Macaca mulatta: one gene and its partners. The main gene of each other region encodes a partner of the protein of the gene in region 2 in a complex. Links are inferred from orthologs where the notes say so. Each region holds a gene or a part of one and is shown on either strand. Other genes may lie near its edges. The genes, in order: CALR3, CELF1 and CALR.

Region 1 (4,288 bases), on a different chromosome or scaffold from region 2:
TGATCCCAAACTTCTACACTTCAGAACACTGACTTCTATTCTTTGGAATCTGTGTTTTCCATACAGTTGTCCTCAAACTTTGAGCTTGAATTAGCTCTCTTTAAGCTAGATTTTTTTTTTTTGGAGACAGAGTCTTGCTCTGTTGCCCAGGCTATAGTGGCAAGATCTTGACTCACTGTAACCTCTGCCTCTCGGGTTCATGTGATTCTCCTGCCTCACCCTCCCAAGTAGCTGGGATTACAGGTGTGCGCCACCACGCTTGGCTAATTTTTTTGTATTTTTGTAGAGACCCGGTTTCACCATGTTGGCTAGGCTGGTCTCAAGCCCCTGACCTCAAGTAATCCACCCGCCTTGGCCTCCCAACGTGCTGGGATTACAGGCAGGAGCCACCGTGCCTGACCATATTTTTCTTTTTTTTTTTTTTTAGATGGAGTCTCACTCTGTCACTGAGGCTGGAGCACAGTGGCACGATCTCTACTCACTGCAACCTCTGCCTCCCGGGTTCAAGCGATTCTTCTGCCTCAGCCTCCCGAGTAGCTGGGACTACAGGCATGCACCACCACACCCAGCTAATTTTTGTATTTTTAGTAGAGATGGGGTGTCACCATATTGGCCAGACTGGTTTGAAACTCCTGACCTCATGATCCTCCTGCCTAAGGCCTCCCAAAGTGCTGAGATTAAGGTGTGAGCCACCATGCCCGGCCTATTTTTTTAAATGCAAAAATTAAAATGAGAAAAAGCACCCACTAATCTTTTCCTTCTGAGGGGCGTGGCCCTTGATCCTCAAATGCACTTGACTAGTGTTTATTAAGAGGGACAACTTTGGTAATGCCTACTAATAACACATTCATATAAATATAATCCAAAGAAGGTTAAATACCATTGCATATTTGACAGTGCTTCAGGTATGATTTTATTATACCAAATAAGCTGAATATGTCTCCTTGGACTTCAGAGGACCTAATACCAACTCACGCCTATAATCCCAGCACTTTAGGAGGCCGAGGCAGGTGGATTACTTGAGGCCAGGAGTTTGAGACCAGCCAGAGCAACGTGGTGAAACTCTGTCTCTAAAAAAATTAGCAGGGCGTAGTGGCACGCGCTTGTAATCGCAGCTTCTCGGAAGCCTGAAGCAAGAGAATCGCTTGAATTCGGGAGGCGGCGGTTTGAGTGAGCCAAGATCGTGCCATTGGCCGGGCGCGGTGGCTCAAGCCTGTAATCCTAGCACTTTGGGAGGCCGAGACAGGCGGATCACGAGGTCAGGAGATCGAAACCATCCTGGCTAACACGGTGAAACCCCGTCTCTACTAAAAAGTACAAAAAACTAGCCGGGCGAGGTGGCGGGAGGGCCGGTAGTCCCAGCTACTCGGGAGGCTGAGGCAGGAGAACGGCGTAAACCCGGGAGGCGGAGCTTGCAGTGAGCTGAGATCCGGCCAGCCTGGGTGACAGAGCAAGACTCCGTCTCAAAAAAAAAAAAAAAAAAAAAAAAAAAAGATCGTGCCACTGCACTCTAGCTGGGTGACACAGAGTGAGACTCCTACTCAAAAAAAAAAAAAAAAAAAAAAAAAAAAAAAAAAAAAAGGCCGGGCGCGGTGGCTCACGCCTGTAATCCCAGCACTTTGGGAGGCCGAGGCGGACGGATCACAAGGTCAGGAGATCGAGGCCACGGTGAAACCCCGTCTCTACTAAAAATACAAAAAATTAGCCGGGCGCGGTTGCGGGCGCCTGTAGTCCCAGCTACTCGGGAGGCTGAGGCAGGAGAATGGCGGGAACCCGGGAGGCGGAGCTTGCAGTGAGACGAGATCGCGCCACTGCACTCCAGCCACGGGGACAGAGCGAGACTCCGTCTCAAAAAAAAAAAAAAAAGTAATCTTCGGCAATAAAGAAAGGAGAGAGGAGGCTGGGTGCAGTGGCTCATGCCTGTAATCTCAGCACTTTGGGTGGCCAAGGCGGGTGGATCACGAGGTCAGGAGTTCGAGACCAGCCTGGCCAACGTGGACCCTGTCTCTACTAATAAGTACAAAAATTAGCTGGTCACAGTGGCGCGCGCCTGTAGTCTCAGCTACTCGGGAGGCCGAGGCAGGAGAATTGCTTGAACCCGGGAAGTGGAAGTTGCAGTGAGCTGAGATCGCACCAGTGCACTCCAGCCTGGGCAACAGAGCAAGGCCCCATCTCAAAAAAAAAAAAAAAAAGAAAGAAAGAAAGAAAGAAAAGAGAGAGGAAACAAAAAACAAGGGTAAGGAGCCCTTTTGCCTTAAGTTCTACCTTTGCCTTAAGGTCTCATCTGTAAATCGGGAATAAAAGCGTTTGGCTGTGCCACAACTACCTTGAGAGGGTGCTATGGAGATGTAACATTAGGCTCAGTTTGGTCCTGATTCTACACTAACCTTTATCTTTCTCTTTATGACCATAAAACTTCCCCGACGAAAGTCTAAAATGCCCAAATCGGGAGTCATTGGTGGACTGCACCCATCGGTTTCTCCAATGCTCTGTGGGGAGGGGGAAATAACACCGGTTAGAGGTGATAATGGTTAATTTGGCCTAAGGGAAGGGTGAGGGGGACCCTCGAGGATTCGAGAGTTCGCTGCCGTCGACCTCGCGACGACTCTGCCCAGCCTTGGGGGGGCAGATGGGGGAGCTTACACCTCTGCCACTAAGGGCGTGGCCCCTTCACCTCCGTCTAGAAATTCCTCTTGGAAATAGACGGTAGCCAGCGCCACTCGCAGCATGCAGATGCCCCAGAGGGGCACCCGAACCCCGGCCATGGGGGTTTGCACTGCGCTTCCGGTCGCCACCGCCCCTTAGCTCCCGGCGCTCTCTGCGGCTCTTCAGGCGAGTCCTGAAACTACAACTCCCGTCACAACTCGCGATTATGACCTGAGGGTCCCATTGGTAGCTGCGGCGCTGGGCACGTCGGGTCCACCAGAGAACTACCGCTCCCATGATGCCTCGCGATTGTGATTCGGGACGCCATTGGTCTGCGGGACGCGGTGCTTGCCGGGAGATGTAGTCTCTTCTGCTCTGGCTCTGTTGCTCAGGGCAACCGGTCCCTCAGGCCTGAATGTGGCGGCTGCCTCTGCGAATGGACGGCGTGGGAGGAGGTCGGCAGCGCTGGTGGGGAGGTGACCTGGCTGGGCGTCCGGGCTCGCGAGGGGGATACGGGGAAATGGGGCCTTCTCCGTGGCTGAGCTGGTTGGGCAGCTGCAGGATGGTCCCGCGCCTCAGTCTCCCTGCCTGGAGTCTATTGGAGCGTGGTCCTGGGCGGGTCGCTTCATAGCTGGGGAGAAGAGCAGGATGGTCTGAGGGGCGCCAGGGTTTTCAAATTTTGGTTTGTTGGTTTTTAACGACTTTGTTGAGCCTTTATTTACATACCATAGTGTTCGCCACTTTTAAGCTGACGACTCCGTTATTTTTAGTAAATCTACAAAGCTGTGAAGTCGTCGCCATCATCCAGTTCATCCAGCTTTAGAACTTCGCGTCAGGCGGGGTGTGGTGGCTCACGCCTGGAATCCCAGCACTTTGGGAGGCAAAGGCGGGAGGATCACTTGAGGCCAGGAGATCCAGACCAGCCTGGGCAACATGGCGACACCCCATCTCTCAAAAAGATAAAAATAAAAAATTAGCCAGGTGTAGTGGCTCGCGTCTACAGTCCTAGCTACTCGGGATGTTGAGGCGGGAGCAGGATTGCTTGTGTCTGGAAGGTCAAAGCTGCTGTGAGCTGTGATCATGCCACTGCACTCTGGCTAATTTTTTGTATTTTTAGTAGAGATGGGGTTTCACCATGTTTGCTACATTGATCTTGAGCTCCTGACCTCACGTGATCTGCCAGCCTTGGCCTCCCAAAGTGCTGGGATTATAGGCGTGAGCCACAGCACCGGCCTGATCTGCTTTCTGAGTTTATTGGTTTGCATTTTCTTGACAGTTCTTACAGATGAAATGATAGGGTGTGTGGAGTTTAGTGTCTGGCTCCTTTTTTTAAATTTTTTTTTGAGGCAGAGTCGCGCTCTGTCACCCAGGCTGGAGTGCAATGGCGTGATCTCAGCTCACTGCAAACTCCTCCTCCCACGTTCAAGCAATTCTCCTGCCTCAGCGTCCTGAGTAGCTGGGATTACAGGCGCAGACCACCATGCCCCGCTAATTTTTGTATTTTTAGTAGAGACGGGGTTTCACCATGTGGGTCAGGCTGGTCTCGAACTCCTGACATCGTGATGCACCTGCCTCGGTCTCCCAAAGTGCTGGGATTACAGGCGTGAGTCACCGGGCCCGGCTTGGCTACTTTCCCTTCATA
Region 2 (3,633 bases):
CTCTTTATCTTGACCGGACCATGTTGGCTAGGGAATCACTGTGGCTAGTTTCCACTGGTCCAATTAAAAAGATTCCAAGGCTGGTGCAGTGGCTCACACCTATAATCCCAGCACTATGGGAGGCCAAGATGATAGGATCCTTTGAGTCCAGGAGTTCAAGACCAGCCTGGGCAACACAGGGAAACCTTCTCTCTCTAAAAAATTTAAAAATTAGCTGGGTGTCGTGATACATGCCTGTGGTCCCAGCTACTCAGGAGGCTGATTCTGGGAGGTTCAGGCTGCAATGAGTTGTGAAGGCACCACTGCACTCCAGCCTGGGTGAGATAGACCAAGACCCTGTCTCCAAAAAAAAACCCCAAACCAAACCAAAATAAAAAAACCAAAAGATTATTTAAAAGCTAAAACTGTATCTACCTCGGCTCAGGCCATCAGGTCCCCGCAATATCCGGCATTCTTCAATCTGTCCAAATGAAGAGAACATGACTCGGATGTCATTTTCAGTGCACTTCTTGGAAATCATACCAATAAACAGCTTCCTGTCTTCCACTGCTAAGAGAGTAAAACACAAAAGACTTGAATATTACTATGAAAAGAGGCAATGTGGCACAGACTCGGGAGCCAGACCGCCTGGGTTTGAATCCTGGCTCTGTGCCTTCATACCACATTTTACAGATTCCAAGACACACATTTGTTTTTCATATTTTTCACATTTCTTTTCTTTCCTTTTTTGAGACAGAGTTTTGCTCCTGTTGTCCAGACTGGAGTGCAATGGCGTGATCTCGGCTCACCGCAACCTCTGCCTCCCGGGTTCAAGCGATTCTCCTGCCTCAGCCTCCTGAGTAGCTGGGATTACAGGAATGCACCATCATGCCTGGCTAATTTTGTATTTTTAGTAGAGACGCGGTTTCTCCATATTGGTCAGGCTGGTCTTGAACTCTTTTTTTTTTTTTTTTTGAGACGGAGTCTCGCGCTGTCACCCAGGCTGGAGTGCAGTGGCCGGATCTCAGCTCACTGCAAGCTCCGCCTCCCAGGTTCACGCCATTCTCCTGCCTCCGCCTCCCGAGTAGCTGGGACTACAGGCGTCCGCCACCTCGGCCGGCTAGTTTTTTGTATTTTTTAGTAGAGACGGGGTTTCACTGTGTTAACCAGGATGGTCTCGATCTCCTGACCTCGTGATCCGCCCGTCTCGGCCTCCCAAAGTGCTGGGATTACAGGCTTGAGCCACCGCGCCCGGCCCGGTCTTGAACTCTTGATCTCAGGTGATCCACCCGCCTCGGCCTCTCAAAGTGCTGGGGTTACAGGCGTGAGCCACCATGCCCGGCTTCACATCTCTCCTTATAACCAACATTATCTTAAAATTATAATTAGAAGCATTTAGATGAAATGTGGTAGCTTTGTAATCTTGTGAAAGTTACTTAACCATTCTGTGCCTGTTTCCTCATCTAACTAATAGGAATAATCAGGTTTACTTCAAAGGGTAGCAGTTGCTATTAAATGCAAAGTACTTGGCATCTTCCCTAGTCCTTTGTAATTGTTTGCTCTTTTTGAGACAAGAGTCTCACTGTCACCCAGGTTGAAGTGCAGTGGCATGATCATGGCTCACTGCAGCCTTGACCTGCTGGATTTAAGCAATCTTCCCACCTCAGCTTCCTGAATAGCTGGGACCACAGGTATGTACCACCACACCCAGTCAATTTTTTGCAGAGAGATCTCACTCTTATTACCAAGGTTGGTCTCAAACTCCTGGGCTCAAACAATCCTCCAGCCTCAGCCTATTAAAGTGCTGTGATTATAGGTGTGCGCCACTGTGCCCAGCCAGCATTGTTTGCTCTTACTAGCAACACTACTAAAGAAAGAAGAGGTTTTCACACTTACTTGATATGACAAGTGGAAGAGAACACACCTTTCAGTGAGTGTAACTGTCTACTTTTCTGACTTTTTTTTCTTTTTTTTGAGACACAGTCTTGCTCTGTTGCCCAGGTTGGAGCGCAGTGGCATAATCTCAGCGTACTGCAACCGCCGCCTCCTGGGTTCAAGCGATTCTCCTGTCTCAGCCTCCTGAGTAGCTGGGATTACAGGCATGCGCCACCACACTCAGCTAATTTTCGCATTTTTAGTAGAGACGGGGTTTCACCATGTTGGCCAGGTGATTCGCCCTCTTTGGCCTCCCAAAGTGCTGGGATTACAAGCATGAGCTACGTCACCCAGACTTGACTATTTTCCTGAGAATTAAGTTCTCCTTCCTAATTTGTTCATGTTGCCCCCTCATTCCTGTCCAAAAGATATTATACTGACCAAGCATACTCCAGTTCATTCTACAATGTTCTTATAATATTTCTCTGTCAACTCTGTTTTTCTTTTTTTTTTTTTTTTTTTGAGACGGAGTCTCGCTCTGTTGCCCAGGCTGGACTGCAGTGGCCGGATCTCAGCTCACTGCAAGCTCCGCCTCCCGGGTTCACGCCATTCTCCTGCCTCAGCCTCCCGAGTAGCTGGGACTACAGGCGCCCGCCACCTCGCCCGGCTAGTTTTTTTGTATTTTTTTTAGTAGAGACGGGGTTTCACCGTGTTAGCCAGGATGGTCTCGATCTCCTGACCTCGTGATCCGCCCGTCTCGGCCTCCCAAAGTGCTGGGATTACAGGCTTGAGCCACCGCGCCCGGCCTCAACTCTGTTTTTCTATTTATCAGACTTTAAAGAAAAAACTGACACAACTCAGACAACGGATTACTTAAAGCACAATTCCATTCAGATATCCTAAGAAAAGCAAATAAACTAGGCAGAAATCTTCTTTTTTTTAATTATTTTTTGAGACAGAGTCTCACTCTGTTGCCCAGGTGGGAATACACTGGCATGATCTCGGCTCGCTGCAACCTCCGCCTCCTGGGTTCAAGAGATTCTCATGCTTCAGCCTCCTGAGAAGCTGGGATTATAGACATGCACAACCATACCCAGCTAATGTTTGTATTTTTAGCAGAGACGGGGTTTCACCATGTTGGCCAGGCTGGTCTCGAACTCCAGCCTCAACCTCAAGCAATCCACCAGCCTTGGCCTCCCAAAGAGCTGGGATTACAGGTGTGAGCCACCACGCCTGGCCTAGGCAGAAAATCTTAAGGGGAAGAGTGTATACATTTGCTTACCATTGTTCTTCTCACTGTCAGCAGGTTTCATCTGTATAGGGTGATGCATCTAAAAAGGAAAAATATGATTATTATCACTGTATATATTAATGGCATTCAGAAATACATACAGACTCTAAAATACCAGAACTAGAGCTTTAAAGAGTTCTCTCTGAACTCATGTCTGCTTCATGATCTTTCCCCAGAAAATGAAAGGTGAGTCAAGAAGTCAAATACACAAGACTCTTGGCTGAGAGAGAACTACTGTCAGGTAATCTTTGAAGTGCTCCCTTTATGTCTTCCTTTACATCAGTTCCTGCGGAAATTACCTTTTCCCCAAAATGGTTTTCAGTGTGTGCCTGATATGTGTAAGTATATCCCATATATCAAAGTTACCACATTTCCATTTACTAGTGGGAGCTTTCTTACCCCTGGAAGGACTTTCATGTTGTGAAGAGCATTCTGAGCTTCTAATGCAGCTTTACGGGTGTAAAATGTAACAAAACAGCACCCTGCAA
Region 3 (4,135 bases), on a different chromosome or scaffold from region 2:
TCATTCTTTAGGGATCCGGATTTTTGGAATGAACCTACTATTTTAATTCCTGGGTCTCCCGCCAGGAGTACTTTGTTGTACTATCCCCAATCTGACCCCAAAAGTATTTAAAGATGTTAACTTTCAAAGCCTCACGACATTAAAAACAGAATTCTCCCTTGGATCTGCCAGTCCTAGAGGCATCCCAGAGGGGTTGGGCTGAGCCACAGGACCCCAAAGGAATAGAAGCATGAAGAAGGCCAGTTTAAGAGGGTGAACCAGATTAAGCCATTGTAGGCCAGCCTGGGCAACAGAGCAACAGTCTATCCTAAAAATAAAACCAATAAACAGAACCAAAACTTACCAGTTAGGTTCAAGGATTCAGTAAATTAATATGTGGAGTATTTACGGCAGCAACAGTCATTCTCCCGTTGGTTTTGAGGGTTATGGGGTAAATACGGGTCCCTGGAATCTTGTGGAACAGTCAGTAACCTCTCTAGCAACAGCTGAAAAAGGAGATATACTGGAAACCCTCCCCACCCCCAAAAAGACCACTGCTGGGTTTCCTGAAGTCTGTCTTTCCCCAAAAGGAGACACAGGAGGGAGACACAAAACTTAATTTAATAGAAATTTTGTTTGTAGTTCTTACATTCTCAGTGTGAGCCAATCTGGGACCCACTGCCCCACCCAGAAGTGGCCCAGTCCTGGGGGCAGGGGAGAAAGGGCGGGGTGAAATGAGAAGAGCCCCATTCTTCCTCAGTGCTGGGGGGTTGGAGACACCACCCCCTTCTCCTGCCCCCCTCTGGGCTCCAGGAAGGAGAGCAGATGAAATTTCAGGCCTGCAGCTTCTCCACACCACTGCCCCCCAGGTTGGAGGGGAGCTAAAAGATATGGAGAGAGAAGGGGACAGAGGCAAGAAAAGATGTTGATCAAGAAAGATGAGAACCAGGGGTGAGGGCTGAAGGAGAATCAAAGATAAAACACCAGTTAAAAAAAAAAAGGCGGGGGGCGGGGGGGAACAGTGGAGGAGGGGACAAAACCAAAATCCACCCCAAATCCGAACCAGCCTGGAAAAAAATGAAAGTTCTCGAGTCTCACAGAGACATTATTTGGCGCGGCCAGCTCTGCGGCAGGAGCGCTCAGGCCTCAGTCCAGCCCTGGAGGCAGGCCTCTCTACAGCTCATCCTTGGCCTGGCCGGGGACATCTTCCTCCTCATCTTCCTCCTTGTCCTCCTCATCCTCCTCATCCTCATCTTTGTCCTCATCGTCCTCCTTGTCTTCTGCCTCCTCCTCCTCTTTGCGCTTCTTGTCTTCTTCCTCCTCCTTAAGCCTCTGCTCCTCGTCCTGTTTGTCCTTCATTTGTTTCTCTGCTGCCTGCAGGCAGAGCACACACCTCAGGGCCTTGCACCCTGCCTTCCCTGCCCGCCCCCCACATCAGGACCAGGACTCACCTTTGTCACGCCCCACGTCTCATTGCCAAACTCCTCGGCGTATGCCTCATCGTTGGTGATAAGGAAGTTGTCAAAGATGGTGCCAGACTTGACCTGGAGGATGAATGGAAGGATGGTCAGAGGTGACACCCGATAGCCCTTCCTTTGGACAGGGTTTCCACCTGTGTTCCTATAACCACTATACCCTGCTGCCTGCATCTGCAGAGAAGACAAGGAACGCTGCTGACATTGCAGTTAAAAAGATGGAGAGTCCGGGCACGGTGGCTCACACCTGTAATCCTCACCCAGAAGCCAAGGCGGGTGGATCACAAGGTCAGGAGATCGAGACCATCCTGGCTAACACAGTGAAACCCCGTCTCTATTAAAAATACAAAAAATTAGCCAGGCGTGGTGGTGGGCGCCTGTAGTCCCAGCTACTCGGGAGGCTGAGGGAGGAGAATGGCGTGAACCCAGGAGGCGGAGTCTGCAGTGAGCGCAGATCGGGCAACTGCACTCCAGCCTGGGCGACAGAGAGAGACTCCATCTCAAAAAAAGATGGAGAGATGGCCAGGCACAGGCTCACGCCTGTAATCCCAGCACTTTGGGAGGCTATGGTGAGCAGATCACTTGAGGCCAGGAGTTCAAGACCAACCTGGGCAACATAGTGAAACCCTGTCTCCACTAAAAAAAAAAAAGCCCGGTGTCTGTGGTGGCACATGCCTGGTATGCCTGTAATCCCAGCTACTCAGGAGGCTGAAGCAGGAGAATCGCTTGAACCTGGGAGGCGGAGGTTGTGGTGAGTCAAGATTGCATCATTGGCCGGGCGCGGTGGCTCAAGCCTGTAATCCCAGCACTTTGGGAGGCCGAGGCGGGTGGATCACGAGGTCAGGAGATCGAGACTATCCTGGCTAACATGGTGAAACCCCGTCTCTACTAAAAATACAGAAAACTAGCCGGGTGTGGTGGCGGGCACCTGTAGTCTCAGCTACTTGGGAGGCTGAGGCGGGAGAATGGCGTGAACCCGGGAGGCGGAGCTTGCAGTGAGCCGAGATCACGCCACTGCACTCCAGCCTGGGAGACACAGCGAGACTCCGTCTCAAAAAAAAAAAAAAAAAAAAAAAAGATTGCATCATTGCACTCCAGCCTGGGCAACAAGAGTGAAATTCCATCTCAAAAAAAAAAAAAAAAAACAACCCAGTGCTGTGGCACATGGCTGTAATTCCAGCTGTTCGAGAGGCTGAGGCCTGAGAATCACTTGAACCTGGAAGGCAGAGACTGCAGTAAGCCGAGATGAAGCCACTGCACTCCAACCTGGGTGACAGAGCAAGACTCTGTCTTTATATTTAAAAAAAAAAAAAAAAAAAAAAAGGATGGAGCGACTCAGGTGTTGTACTGCCTGGGTTCAAACCCCAGCTTTGTGGTTTCCTGCCCCCATGACCTTGGGCTACTGACTTCAGTTCTCTGCACCTGTTTCTTCTGTTTCTCACTCTCTTATATTCAGGTATTTTTCAGGTACCTACTAAATGCCAAGAAATGTCTTGGGCACAGAAGGTATTTCAGTGACCAAAAAAGACAAAAATTCAGTCCCAGCTTTTTTTGAAACAGGGTCTCACTCTGTCACCCAGGCTGGAGTGCAGTGACATGATCATGGCTCACTGCAGCCTCGATGCCCCAGGTTCAAGTATCATCCTCCTTCCTTGGTAGCTTGGACTACAGGTATGCACGACATCTGGCTAATTTTTAAAGTTTTTTGTAGAGGCTAGGCACAGTGGCTCAACCCGTGTAATCCCAGCATTTTGGGAGGCCGAGGCGGGCAGATCACCTGAGGCCAGGAGTTCGAGACCAATCTTGGCAACATGGTGAAGCCCTGTCTCTACCCAAAAAAAAAAAAAAAAAAAAAAAAAAAGGCTGGGTACGGTGGTTCATGCCTGTAATCCCAGCACTTTGGGAGGCTGAGGCTGGTGGATTATGAGGTCAGGAGATCGAGACCATCCTGGCTAACATGGTGAAACCACGTCTCTACTAAAAAAAAAAAAAAAAAAAAAAAAAAATCGGCCGGGCACGGTGGCTCAAGCCTGTAATCCCAGCACTTTGGGAGGCCGAGACGGGCGGATCACGAGGTTAGGAGATCGAGACCATCCTGGCGAACACGGTGAAACCCCGTCTCTACTAAAAAAAAAAATACAAAAAAACTAGCCGGGCGTGCTGGCGGCGCCTGTAGTCCCAGCTACTTGGGAGGCTGAGTCAGGAGAATGGCGGGAACCCGTGGGGCGGAGCTTGCAGTGAGCTGAGATCCGGCCACTGCACTCCAGCCCGGGCAACAGAGCCAGACTCCGTCTCAAAAAAAAAAAAAAAAAAAAAAAAAAAAAAAAAATCAGCCAGGCGTGGTGGCAGGCGCCTGTAGTCCCAGCTACTTGGGAGGCTGAGACAGGAGAATGCCGTAAACCTGGGAGGCGGAGCTTGCAGTGAGCTGAGATCGCACCACTGCACTCCAGCCTGGGCGACAGAGCAAGACTCGGTCTCAAAAACAAAAAACAAACAAATTAGCCTGGCATCCATAGTGGCACATGCCTGTAATCCCAGTTACTGGGGAGGCTGAGGCAGGAGAATCGCTTGAACCCAGCAGGCGAAGGTTGCAGTGAGCTGAGATCGTGCCATTGCACTCGAGCCTCAGCAACAAGAGTGAAACTGCGTCTCAAAAAAAAAAAAAAAAAAGGCCGGGCGCG

The links.
Region 1: CELF1 (region 2) and CALR3 share a complex: the UniProt entries of both Homo sapiens proteins name them as parts of the EIF2 complex. The link is inferred for Macaca mulatta from reciprocal best matches to the Homo sapiens genes CELF1 and CALR3.
Region 3: CELF1 (region 2) and CALR share a complex: the UniProt entries of both Homo sapiens proteins name them as parts of the EIF2 complex. The link is inferred for Macaca mulatta from reciprocal best matches to the Homo sapiens genes CELF1 and CALR.

What each region holds. Positions count from the first base shown.
Region 1 is NC_133424.1:16,990,804-16,995,091, forward strand, and holds the start of CALR3 (calreticulin-3), read right to left. Parts: upstream 2,841-4,288; 5' UTR 2,766-2,840; coding exon 2,675-2,765; intron 2,490-2,674; coding exon 2,388-2,489; coding exon of another isoform or gene 2,382-2,387; intron 1-2,381. UniProt on the Homo sapiens protein: During spermatogenesis, may act as a lectin-independent chaperone for specific client proteins such as ADAM3. Required for sperm fertility. CALR3 capacity for calcium-binding may be absent or much lower than that of CALR.
Region 2 is NC_133419.1:18,109,612-18,113,244, reverse strand, and holds part of CELF1 (CUGBP Elav-like family member 1), read right to left. Parts: intron 3,628-3,633; coding exon 3,545-3,627; intron 3,186-3,544; coding exon 3,137-3,185; intron 550-3,136; coding exon 415-549; intron 1-414. UniProt on the Homo sapiens protein: RNA-binding protein implicated in the regulation of several post-transcriptional events. Involved in pre-mRNA alternative splicing, mRNA translation and stability.
Region 3 is NC_133424.1:13,507,791-13,511,925, reverse strand, and holds the end of CALR (calreticulin precursor), read right to left. Parts: intron 1,573-4,135; exon of another isoform or gene 1,524-1,572; coding exon 1,431-1,523; intron 1,354-1,430; coding exon 1,153-1,353; 3' UTR 582-1,152; downstream 1-581. UniProt on the Homo sapiens protein: Calcium-binding chaperone that promotes folding, oligomeric assembly and quality control in the endoplasmic reticulum (ER) via the calreticulin/calnexin cycle.